Solanum lycopersicum: one gene and its partners. The protein of the gene in region 1 interacts with the protein of each later gene in a pairwise test. Links are inferred from orthologs where the notes say so. Each region holds a gene or a part of one and is shown in the gene's direction. Other genes may lie near its edges. The genes, in order: E3 ubiquitin-protein ligase BRE1-like 1; heat stress transcription factor C-1; protein PEP-RELATED DEVELOPMENT ARRESTED 1, chloroplastic.

Region 1 (4,245 bases):
GAGGAAAAGTGGTTAATATTGCTTAGGGATTTTCATTGTTTTCTGATGAATGATTTACATTGTTTAAGGGTAATAATATTTCTGATGTAACTGCACCCAAGGTTGTGACCTAGTGGTTAATGAAGTGGTTGAGAACCTTGAGGTCTTAGGTTCAAAACTCAGTGGAGACAAAAAACACTAGGTGATTCTTTCCATCTGTCCCAGCCTTCGTCGATAGGTGCGAAAACTGGCCTAGACACCACGGTCATTAAGAAAAAATGATGTAACTAGTTACGAGCTTAAAAAAAATAATAATTCCATTGCAACTTTGTTACTGCATCTAATTTTACAGATTCGGATTTGTTTTCAGTAAACTCATTTAGTTGCTGCTAATTCCATGGCCATCTTTCTTCAGCCATTTTTCTCTTATAAACATTTATTTGGGGAAAAGTACTTAGAATTATACATCTAAACCACAATGAGTGAAAGTAGTTTAACCGTTAAGAAGTTTGGAAAATCTTTTACTGTAAGAATGCTTTCAAGTTTCAACCAAATTGCATGTAACCTCACTGACTACCTCACAACTATAGCAAGGAGCCTGAAGAGTTGGTAGAAGACCTGGCAGTGAACAACACATTATCTCATTACAAGTTCTCAAAGGTCAAAGATGTAGAGTGAAAGAAAAAGTCGAGGTCAGTTGGTGTTCAAAGCACAAATATAGAGTGAGAGCATTAATGAAGAAAGGGTAATAAAAATAAGTAAAAAAAATGTGTATACATATGGTCAAGAGTAATAAGCAGTTTCATCAAAGGTGAAAAGGATAAAAATTATAGTGGGTTTCTAGAGCCAGTGCAGACGAAGTGCTAGCCCCTTAAGAAAGAAAGGCTCTAGATGCAAACAAACAGTTATCTAGACAAAATAATATAAAATATCATATTAGGTGAAATATTTATTCTTTATTGCCAAATCTCTTCAAGAAAACTTATAGGCGAAAAAGCATATGCTTTAGTGCCTTGAGGCCTCAATTGAGGCACGGGCAACTACTTTGCACATAGCCTCAAGGCTTAAGTGTGTGTAAAGCGAGCCTTTGACAATGCTGAAGTCGTGGACATTTACAGCAACTTGTGTTCAATTGATTTCCCCCTTATCTGTGGCGATTATTCTTTTTTTTTTCTTTTTTTTCCATTCAGTCATGGTAGTTCTGGTCTGACTCTACAACTTGGGTTATTTGTTTAATTGTTTTTTTGTTCTTAATTCAGAATGCCTTCTTGTTTTCAACCTTTCTGTATGCATTACATTTTTAAACTTATCCTGTTAGGGTTTTCTTTTCTAGATTTTCATGCACTAATCTGTGTAAATATTTTTCCTCCTTGTAGCTGTTGTTAGATCTTATTTCCATGACCCCAACTTATCTTTGAACAGGGGAGGGTAAACACTTGGCTAATCGGTAGTGGATTGGCCAGTATTACCACTTTTAAAAAATAGCACCTGGTTTGCTTTTCTTAAGCTTTATTTGATTGAATCTCATTGTTATCCATTCTCAGTAAGACTGACAATGAATGTGGCATTAATTTGTCCCGCACTGCTTTGATGCCGGGGAGATTCCAGCATTGTGTTGTGCATTATATGCCTGTTTTATTCTTTTTTTCCCTCATGGTTAAGATGTTTGCAGAATTAGTTCCTTTTATAGGACTACTTTAGACACATTTCTGTAGCTTTACATGGATATGTTGGGTTTTTAGAGTTTCGCATCCACAAATTTCCTTACATCGCTTCAAGAGTACTCCAAAAAACGTTCTGTCTGTGCATTTCTAGTGTCTCAGGTTTCTACTGCTGCCAATGTTGTACACTGTGGTTAGTTTATTTCCTGTTCTACAGCTTGTTTTAGAAGGAGTACGGGCAAGACAACAGCGGGATTGTTTGGCTTGGGAAAGTCAAATCACAGAGAGAGCAGTTGAAGATGCCAATACAATGGTCAGTTCCTATGAAATGAAAGCTGCCAAAATTGATGACCAGGTAATTGCATATCTTCTCTGAAGTGCCAAATGTTTATATTTCTCCAGACTTTAAGTGTATGTATTTCCTTTCAGTTGAGGGGATGCTCAGACTTGATCCAGAAGCTTGCTGAAGATAGGGGTCAGAATTCTCTTGCTTTAGAGAACACCCAAAAACGGTTTTTAGATGTAAGAAAATCTTCCCAGCAATTGCGGGAGACGCTGGAAGAATGGCAATCCAAGATCGACGAAGTTCGAGTTGATCTTGCACAGTTGCAGATAGAACTAGAGAAAGAAAGGTAACTGAAGGTTAACCTTTGTCTGTATACCCATTATGAATTTATCTTAAACCAATACTCTCATATGTTCCTTTATTATATGATCTTCGCTTTACTTGGCTAGGTTTGAGAGAAAAAGAGCAGAGGAGGATGTAGAAGCTCTGAGGAGAAAGACTTCACGTTTGAGATCACACATTGAAGGGTCATCTGTTATTGAGAAGCTTCAGCAAAAACTAAGGGAATACAAGGAAATACTCAATTGTAGTATTTGCTTTGATAGGCGCAAAGAGGTTGGACCGACTGACCTTTCCTTATTTATTTGGTTGATCAGCATCAGTTTGGTGAAGTTGAAAGTACCTATAGAATGTCACATCTGATGTAGGATCCACTGTTGCAAGTTTGTGATTCTGGCAGCAGATGGGATGAAAAGATTGCGTTCTTACTTTAGATTGGTTATTGAGATAATAGTATGGCGATATCCAAGAGATTCTTCAGTTATGAGATCCATGGTTCTGAATTAGGGAACAACCAGTGTCCAGTAGTGAGACCGAATAGTACCTCCTTACCAAAAAAATAGTACATTTAACCAAACATGTGTTAATTTGTTACATGATCTTGTCTGATGTGAATAAGCACAGTGATGCTTACGTCCACCATCTGGTGAGATTCTAAGAGATCCTGACAGCTAACTTGTTACAGTGGTTGGTTTAATTTTTGCCATGGTGGTAATAGAACTAGTATTCTCCAAATATTTTTTTGATAGCGATGGAGTCCAGGTCAGTTTGTTCATACCTCGACTATCCCATCGGTATGCTACTTCCCACTAGAACAGGTACTAGGTAACATTACCTATAAAGATTTATTATTGTTTAGACATGACAAAGATAATGCCTATGTTTTTTTTTTCGGGATTGGTTTGCACCCGCTTCATTGACCACCAGGCCACACCCTTGGGTTCAACTAGTTTTCTCCAAACATGTAATTGTGTCCTTAGTGAGGAAAGAATTTAACTTTGCTAGACTCTTTATCTGATACCTATTTCACTCTGAGAGCTAAGTTTTCTTTATTACATTACAGGTTGTCCTCGCAAAATGTTACCATCTCTTTTGTAATCCGTGTATCCAAAAAATTGTGGAGACTCGTCACCGCAAATGTCCTGTCTGCTCTGCAAGCTTTGGAGCAAATGATGTCAAGGCCGTTTATATCTGATCAGAAACATGAGGATGTCTAGGCCTTTTATTATGTCACTGTTGTGAAGCAAGGTTGTCGTTCACTTATGGTCTATGCATATATTTATGCAGGAAATAACATAAAACAGAAAAAAATTCTGGTGGTTGAAAGTGGATAGTCTGCATGGATTTGCTGGTGCTAGTCCAAAGGTTAATGATTTTGTTAATCTTTTGCTGGTGCGTGTCCAAGGTTGTTGATCTTGTTCATTAACCTTTCCTTTATTTAAGTGGATGCACTTAAGTTCACATCTTTGGTTGCTGAGTTCTATTGTTTATTGCCTTGTTATTAAGTCCCAATCCATTGCCTCAAATAGAGTTTGTTCACCCCGTTGTCGCCCCCTCCATCGCTTCTCCTAGTATATAGGTTTTCCCCCATACTCACTCAATTGCCTGAAAAGGTGAACATAATTTTTTTTTAAACCACAATTTTTAGTTGCTGGTTAGGAAGTAAACTCATGTATTAAAACTAGCATAACTAATACCATGTTCTGTAGCATTTTAGTTGCTATGTATAGAATATAGCACACGAACCAATACATGTATAATTCATGAGGGGGTTTATGCATTATTTTATGCCAAGTAAAAGATGGACCAACTAAGTCTTGCATAATTAGTTCGTACATTACTATTACTACTATCCAAACGACCCCTTATTTCATTATCCTGGGTCTCGAACCCGAGATCTTTGATTATGTCCTGTGTTGCTGTAGCGGTTGTGATTGAGTTTGTTTGTTTCCTCTTAGTTCAACTATAAGGAAGATTTTA
Region 2 (3,923 bases), on another chromosome or scaffold:
TCATGAAAAAGAATTAAAGTATTTTTATAAAAATACACTCGTTAAAGAACAATTTTAACAATATATTTTGAGATAATATTTTAAAAGTAAAAAAGCTAAAAATTAATTAAACTGTATCGATACCAAGAGTAGTAGTTAATTTGAGAGTTCTAAAACTAAAATAAACTTAAAAAAAAATATTTCAAATGGAGTGAAAAAATTATAATTGTACCAATAAGAAGGTGTAACGTATTAAAAAGTTACATGCCACGTGTCGCTTTTCTGCGGCAAGTGCACGAGAAAATAAAAGTACTTTATTATTATCTGGCCAAAATCTTGTGAAAAATATATTAAAATATAAAAAAAAAATATGAAAACGAATCGGTATTTCCAGCACCGAATCTAAGGCACTGTTTGTAGTTGTCTCTTTGAGTTACACCATTATCAATTTTTCGAAAAATATTGTAAATATCCTTAAATTATATGTAAATTATAAATTATTAACAATCTTGAAAATAATAAGTTTCACGTTTGTATAAGAGTTTGAGATCGTGGCTATGTTCATTTGGTAAGTTGAAGGTGTATTTAAACTTAGTTAGTCAAGTAGATAAATCATCTTATACAGTCAATAGTACGAAAACAAAATTAACAATTCTGATAAAGTGTTTTCGATATTTATTTCTAAAACTTTTGATTTTCTTTTCACTTTTCACTATGTTGTGAGATTCACCTATAATATGCATTACTAATTTTACAGTTTGTCAATCTAAAAATTTATCAGTTCTTAATTTTAATTCATCCTCTCTTGATCCTAGATGTCACAAACATGCAACCTTACAGAAATTCGGTATCCTCGTTGATGTTTGATACAATTTTACGACTCAAGTTCATCACACATTCAACACTGATCCTTAAAACGTTTGTACTAAGTGAACTTATACTCCGAGTCTTATCTAAATTTAATGCCTTATTTAAAAAAAATCCAGCTAAGCAATTTTTCGAATCATCCAATCCTGACTAGAAACGTGGCATTGATTCGAGGGGACCACGTAAGAACACCAAGTCCAAACGCCACGCGCTATAGCCTGCGAGTGGTAAAAAAATGAAAATATCTAAGAATCAGGGTCATGACGTGGACCAATCAAATTAAAAAGACCATCATTGTGGTCCCCTTGTAGCACAACCATAAAAATATCATCTAAGCCTTCAAATAATCTCCACGTACCATATTTGTTATTAATTAATATTAATATTACTTTTTTAGAGGCTACTTGGTAGTCGGAATCGATCTATCTTAGAGCCCTACTAATAATTTTCGTTACAAAAATATTTACAGAATACGACTTTTGAATATATAAATTTTGATCAAATTTGATATCTCTAAAATAATTGTTCTAAAATTATAGTATCGCAAAATTAAAATATATTTTTTTCTAATTAATTCCTCAAAATTTAAAATTATTTTTATTTTTATTTTTAAAAATATGAGAGATTATCTACTATGATGCGCGATGATTTAATATTAATATTAATATACACTCAAACACGAAAAAGAGTTGTCTATATAACCATATCCTTTACATTGACATTCTTCTCTACAACCACCACGACTGCCACTGCCCCTAACCTTCCGCCACCGTGAACCTCCGCCCAGCTCAGTGGAGCTCCACCGCGTTGACATCGGAACGATATATATATATATGGGATGGAGGCTAACAATATTATTGCTCCGTTCGTGATGAAAACTTATCAAATGGTGAATGATCCGAAGATTGATGGACTTATAGCCTGGGGAACAGCTAATAACAGTTTCATAGTTGTTGAACCTTTGGATTTTTCTCAACGAATTTTGCCTGTTTACTTTAAGCACAACAATTTCTCCAGCTTTGTTCGTCAGCTCAATACTTATGTGAGTATATTATGTAACAGATTCATATTCAGAATTGAATATGTTTAGAATTGTTAGTTTTTGAATCTGATATGTGTATTGGATTGGATTTCAGTTGAAATCAATTGATTTAGGTTGAATTTTTCTGGTTTTGATTCGAGTGTCTATGAATCTACAGGGATTCAGAAAAGTGGATCCAGATAAGTGGGAATTTGCAAATGAATGGTTTCTGAGAGGGCAAACGCATTTGTTGAAGAACATAGTGAGGAAAAAGCACAGTAGAAATTCGTGTTCTCAGAAGCAGGATGAGAGTGAAGATGAAGAAATTTTGACTGAAATTTCTAGATTAAAGCAGGAACAAAAAGCATTAGAGCATGAAGTTGAGAATATGACTAGAAGATTAGAAGCTACAGAGAAAAGGCCACAGCAAATGATGGCTTTTTTGTGTAAAGTTGTTGATGATCCTGAGATTCTGCCCAGAATTTTAATGGAGAAAGAGAGATCTAAAAGGCTAAGTTTAACAAATCGTGAGAAGAAACGGAGACTTGTGATTTCGAATTCAACGAGTTGTTCCTCAGTGAAGAGTGAAGATGCACTAGGGGCAACATCGTCATTTCACTCACCCGACGCAAATTTCGATAAGGATGCGATCTGTCAGTCCTCACCGTCGTCGGGAACTCCGCCGCCGCCGACGGCCTGGCTAGGTAGTCGGCCGATGATAACTTATGAGCCAGGTACGATACAGTCGATTCGATCTCCTGACGCGAATTTCGATAAGGATACGTTCTATCAATCCTCGCCGTCGTCGGAAACTCCGTCCACGGCGTGGATGAACCAACAAAAAGTCATCATCGGTGGCCGGCCGATGATGATGATTAATGAAGCCTACGGAAGTTGTCCTACTATGTCTAGTACATTGTCAACTGGCTCATCGGAGAGCGGCGGTTTCACCGCTCCACCGATGGATAACTTTTACGGCTACGACTACGGCGGCGGCGGACGTGGTGGTGGAGGAGGTACTCCAGCGACGGAGGAAGCTAGTACACCGCCTTATCCATTTTCATTATTCGGTGGTGGATTTTAGTTTAGTATAAAAAAAATGATTTATAATTATGTGAGCTATATTCGATTATAGCTTTTGTAATTATTTTAATTCATTTTTTTTTATAATTTTTCCTTTTAATTATGCAAATATTCTACAAATATGTAATCTAAAAAAAAGTGAAACCTCCCAAGTTAACAATTAACTATAGGACTAATAAAAATTAGCTAGGGAATACTGTTTCATTTTTTTTTTTGTAGCTTTGCTTAATAATTTTGCTAACTTTGGCATAATTATGTGTGAAGTTTTTCTTTTTTTAATTATCCTTGTTGTTATTGTTTTTTTTTTCTTTCGAAACATTATGTACGGTTTATTTCTTGATTAACATGTCTTTTTTTTTCGAGTTTTAATTTCGGTGTATGAATGGTTGATAACATATTTCTTATTAAGTAAATAAATTAATCATGTGATAAAATAAGTATGTTTATTAATTATGTGGAATAAGATTAACCAATACATCAAGATGAATTGTAGTGCATCGATGAAAGTGTTTCACCCTTAATAAGAGATTTAGGTTCGATTCGGCGACGGAGGAAGAGTATAGGAAGTGTTAGGACGAAAATAAGCATGTGTAAACGCGAAAGCTAGCAAAGGAAACCTCAAAAGACCAAGAGTAAGAAGACAACGAGAATTATACCAAAAGACACAAAGATTTAACGTGGTTCGGTCAATCGTCCTACGTCCACAAAGGAGATGAGCAATCCACTATAAATATGAGAGTACAACATACAGAGGGAAACAACCTCAACCAAATTCACTTATAATACATGGGAGGTTCACACAAGTAATAACGTGTCAAGCTTGTGACCCACAATTTCTTTCCCTAACCAAAACTCTCAAAGTCATTAAGATTACATTGTGAATGCTGATTAAGTTAGAAGGAACATGTCTCTATTTATAGAGTTCTAAACATTTTCCTAAAAGGAAAAAACATATTTATGATAAGAAATCAGG
Region 3 (4,124 bases), on another chromosome or scaffold:
AGAAGTGTGTAAAATGAGAAAGAGAAAGAGATTTGGGCAGAAAATTGTATAAAATGAAGTGTATAAAACGAAGTATATAAAACGTATTACATAATTATAAGTGTATATGACGATTATATACAATTTGAGTTGTATAAAACGAGAAAGGAGAAAGGCAAAAGAGACTTGGACAGAGAATATACTATTGAGTCGAATTTTATAAAACGAGAAAGAGAGAAATTATATACAATTTGAATTTGTATAAAACGAGAAAGAGAGAAAGACAAAAGAGACTTAGGCAGGAAAGTATTTTTATTTTATAATTGTAAGTGAATAAGACGGAGATATATGTATTTGCATGTGTATATACAATTTTCTCTCGCTTTGTACAATTAGATACACAATTTATACAATTCTATTGTATAAAGCGAGAGAGGCGAGCAAAGGAAGCGAGCGAGAGAGGGAGAGTAGCGAGCGATAATATGAGGGAGAGAGTGACTGACAAAAAGTTTTTTATGAAACACAAATAAATCAAAACGGTAACTACTATATTTATTTTATATTATTAATTTGTCGTTCTATACCATTATCCCCATTAAATATGGATGATTCAAAAAGGTAAAAAATATATTGTAAACAAAAAGGGAATATTATAATAATACATATGCCATCTCACCAGGAAAGATGTATCAAATATTTTTATAAGGAAACAAAAATATTTAGGTGAATTTTTAATTCAAAAAAAAAAAATATGATGGGGATTTACTCAATTAGAATGGAGAAGGTGAAAATGACATGGACGGTCATGGTTTTTAACCATATGATGGTGGATTGACGTATTTTTCATTTCCTTTTTTCTGTTTTATAGATTACATATTGACGATTTTGGTTTGTAGTGTATAGATGACTTTGGAATTAATCATTTTAATATTTTATGAGTCGAGCGTATCACATAGTGCTTATATAGTACTATTTATATATTTTAAGTGATTTACATATCATTACACGATTCACACCAAAAGGACAAAGACGATGTCAAAAGTTATAAGCTTGTAGTTGTGACACGTTATTCAAATATAACAAAACAAGTGATAATAATAATGGAAAATGCTCAAAAGTTCCTCTAAATTATTCGAAATAACTTATATTTATTCTTAAACTATATTTCGGCCCAAAATTATGCTTCTTGTAATATTATTGGGTCAAAATTATCCTTCTTATTAATGAAACTTGTTAAAGGTGAATGCCACATGACATACCATATAAGCTCCCCAATTTCATTCATTTCCACGTAGACTAATAATAAGATTTTAATCCTAATTCTTCTTCTCATTTTTCTATTTCCATTTGAAACCATTTTAATCACCCCTTTCCCCTAATTTCTCGTATTCATTTCGAAAACTTCATATATTTTTATTTTCGCAACTCCATTGTGAAGCTTCACAAGTTTGGCCTATAAGAAGCTTGAAGAGTACCAAACTACTAAGAGAAACTGATGTATGAATTGAAGTTTGGGCCAAGCTTGCAGGCTAGAAACAACCATACTTAGTGCTATGAATTGAAGTTTGGGCCAAGCTTGCAGGCTAGAAACAAACATACTTAGTGCTATCTTCTTAAAAAGGTAATTTTAATTTAAATATGAATTATTTTAAATAGTTTACGAATATTTTGACCTTTTCCATAATAATAACAATGATCTTACCCCTCTCCCGCAATATCTCCATTTCCACCCCCCAAAAGAAAAGATTGTAATTCCGTCGTTGGTCATTTCATCCATGGCATTTCTGTCCATCCCTATCGTTTTCTGTGGAGCTACTCCTGCAAGTCTATCTCGTTACTCGACTCCATCACTATACTATTTTCTTCAACCGGAAATCCCCAATCAGTATTCATTGCAGCTGAAGACATCCTGCAGACTGAACCTTTCGGCATTATGTACGAGTAACGAGGTCGGCGCAGGTTCTTTGGCGGAGGAATTCGGAGCTCAAAATGGAAGAATGGAAAATCATGGACATGAAGTCGGAGATTTTGATACTTCTCAGTATCAAGTTCTTCTTAAAGGTGGTGAACAAGTTACCTCCGTCCTTGAAGAAATGGCCAAGCTAGTATGTTTTCCCTTAATTGTATTATATTTCATTTGTCTTTGTGATGATATACTTTTAAAACTACAATTCTTCTGTGTGTTTGATTACTAGAAAAATTAAACCCTAAACCCTTTAGGTGTTCATTGAATTTGTTCCTGTTTAATTGTTAATCAAGTTAAATATCAGAGGTACTAGGATTTCACAGTCCATGTGAATGTGCTTCTCTTAGGAATTTTATGAAGTCTCTGTATTGTTATCTGAAGGGTGTGGTCTTAATTCTTGATAGCTAGTAACCCTAGAAATGAAGCTTATCCTGTATACTAATTTGTGATGTTGAAATGGATAATGGTATGGATACAAATATGTAAGTAATAAAAAGATAGAATTTTCCCCCTTTTTTTTTCCGTTCAAGTCGCTTATGTGGTTACTTCAGTATGTCAGCTGGAGTAGTTATTCATCTCGTCAATATACTTTGTTGGATACATATTTTATGAAACAGTTGGAAGATATGAAGATGGATGAAGCATCTGAGGAGGTAGCAGTGCAATTGGCTGCACAAGGAGTGATTGGGAAAAGAGTTGATGAAATGGAGTCCGGGTTCATGATGGCCCTTGATTACATGATCCAAACTGCTGACAACGACCAGGATGATAAGGTAGTATTATTAAGGTTCCTGATCTTTTTTTTTTCTTTTTTTTTCCTTGTTATTTTCCCTTAACCAGTTCTTTTGTTCGTGGAATCATATTTCGATTTCATAGTATGCGTGGTTTATACTTCATAGTCCCACCTATCATTATTTTGCCATGAGCAATTGATTTATTAGTTTTCACTGTCGACACATCTGGTACATTTTCTGTGGTAAGATAATTTGTGTGCTGCCATTGGAGATGGATTAGTAACAAATAGTTGTTGTTGATGATATTCATGTAATTTTTGCCTAGTACAAGATGTAATGAAGTAATAGGTGTCTCATTTAGAAGCTTATTGATGCTGATTTCTCTAGTAAATAGTCAGGTTCTCTCATTTTAGCCTTTTCATCGTATGGGTAATTTATTTCTTGATAGAAAAAGTTGCCAAGAGCATCGGGTTGAAGAAGCGATAATTAAAGAATTAAAGGCATTAAAGGGAACCTTCTCTATAATCAATTTTCCTTGATTGTTGGCTAGACTGAATGTTATTTGATTAGATATCAAGCTGGATATCTGATCCATATTATAGTCTTTTTATATATATTATATATATATTTCCATTTTGTGCCCAGTTCATGTCCATTTGATTCCTGTAGAGTACTGCATTGATACAAGAGGTTTTCTGGGTGGGTATGTGATTAACAAAGTTGTTTCTTTTAGCGCAAATCACTCTTGGAAGTTATCAAGGAGACTGTATTATCCCATCTTACCAAGAAGTGCCCCCCTCATGTGAGTATGCTAGTATGCTGAATGACTACATTATTAGCAGCATTGATGCTCTAGTCTTTGATCTGACATTGAATTGGATTTGTATGTTTTCTAGGTTCAAGTCATAGGCCTGCTCTGTAGAACTCCTCAAAAAGAAAGCAGACATGAATTGCTCAGGCGAGTTGCTGCTGGTGGTGGAGTATTTCAAAGTGAGAATGGGACAAAAGTCCATCTTCCTGGGGCAAATTTGAATGATATAGCTAACCAAGCGGATGATATTCTGGAGGTAGGCTCTTAATGTATATGCATAGTCAGGAGACTAACCAGTTTTTGGTATTTAAGTCTAAAATAATTTGTTTTGCATCAATTTCATTTGGCTGCGGGTCCCTTAGGGTGCAGGTTATTAGAAACCACAAACTTTACATGGTATGGAACATCTGGTTTGTAGAGACCATAAGGCACCACACTGTGCATTATGTAACACATTTTGGAAAATGGTTAGATCAATATTTTCATCTATTGATGTTAAAACTTCTGTTCAGCCATCTTGGTCAGACAATTTGTAGTGTTGATGCTGGTTATATGTAAGCTGTAAGAAACTTGTGCTCAATGCTGAATTCATTATTTATTTTTGTTCTCAAGTTACTGAAATATTAATTTTTTA

The links.
Region 2: the proteins of E3 ubiquitin-protein ligase BRE1-like 1 (region 1) and heat stress transcription factor C-1 interact in binary tests that used the Arabidopsis thaliana proteins (3 or more experiments, as listed by UniProt). The link is inferred for Solanum lycopersicum from reciprocal best matches to the Arabidopsis thaliana genes HUB1 and HSFC1.
Region 3: the proteins of E3 ubiquitin-protein ligase BRE1-like 1 (region 1) and protein PEP-RELATED DEVELOPMENT ARRESTED 1, chloroplastic interact in binary tests that used the Arabidopsis thaliana proteins (3 or more experiments, as listed by UniProt). The link is inferred for Solanum lycopersicum from reciprocal best matches to the Arabidopsis thaliana genes HUB1 and AT5G48470.

Annotation. Positions count from the first base shown.
Region 1 is NC_090810.1:7,003,710-7,007,954, reverse strand, and holds the end of E3 ubiquitin-protein ligase BRE1-like 1, read left to right. Parts: intron 1-1,857; coding exon 1,858-1,995; intron 1,996-2,069; coding exon 2,070-2,272; intron 2,273-2,375; coding exon 2,376-2,541; intron 2,542-3,328; coding exon 3,329-3,460; 3' UTR 3,461-3,726; downstream 3,727-4,245. UniProt on the Arabidopsis thaliana protein: E3 ubiquitin-protein ligase that monoubiquitinates H2B to form H2BK143ub1. H2BK143ub1 gives a specific tag for epigenetic transcriptional activation and is also prerequisite for H3K4me and maybe H3K79me.
Region 2 is NC_090811.1:1,914,628-1,918,550, forward strand, and holds heat stress transcription factor C-1, read left to right. Parts: upstream 1-1,197; 5' UTR 1,198-1,684; coding exon 1,685-1,888; intron 1,889-2,045; coding exon 2,046-2,951; 3' UTR 2,952-3,319; downstream 3,320-3,923. UniProt on the Arabidopsis thaliana protein: Transcriptional regulator that specifically binds DNA sequence 5'-AGAAnnTTCT-3' known as heat shock promoter elements (HSE).
Region 3 is NC_090808.1:43,952,704-43,956,827, forward strand, and holds the start of protein PEP-RELATED DEVELOPMENT ARRESTED 1, chloroplastic, read left to right. Parts: upstream 1-1,291; 5' UTR 1,292-1,754; coding exon 1,755-2,084; intron 2,085-2,562; coding exon 2,563-2,718; intron 2,719-3,412; coding exon 3,413-3,481; intron 3,482-3,575; coding exon 3,576-3,746; intron 3,747-4,124. UniProt on the Arabidopsis thaliana protein: Plays an essential role in early steps of chloroplast development. May be involved in the redox control of plastid gene expression by maintening the redox state around chloroplast nucleoids.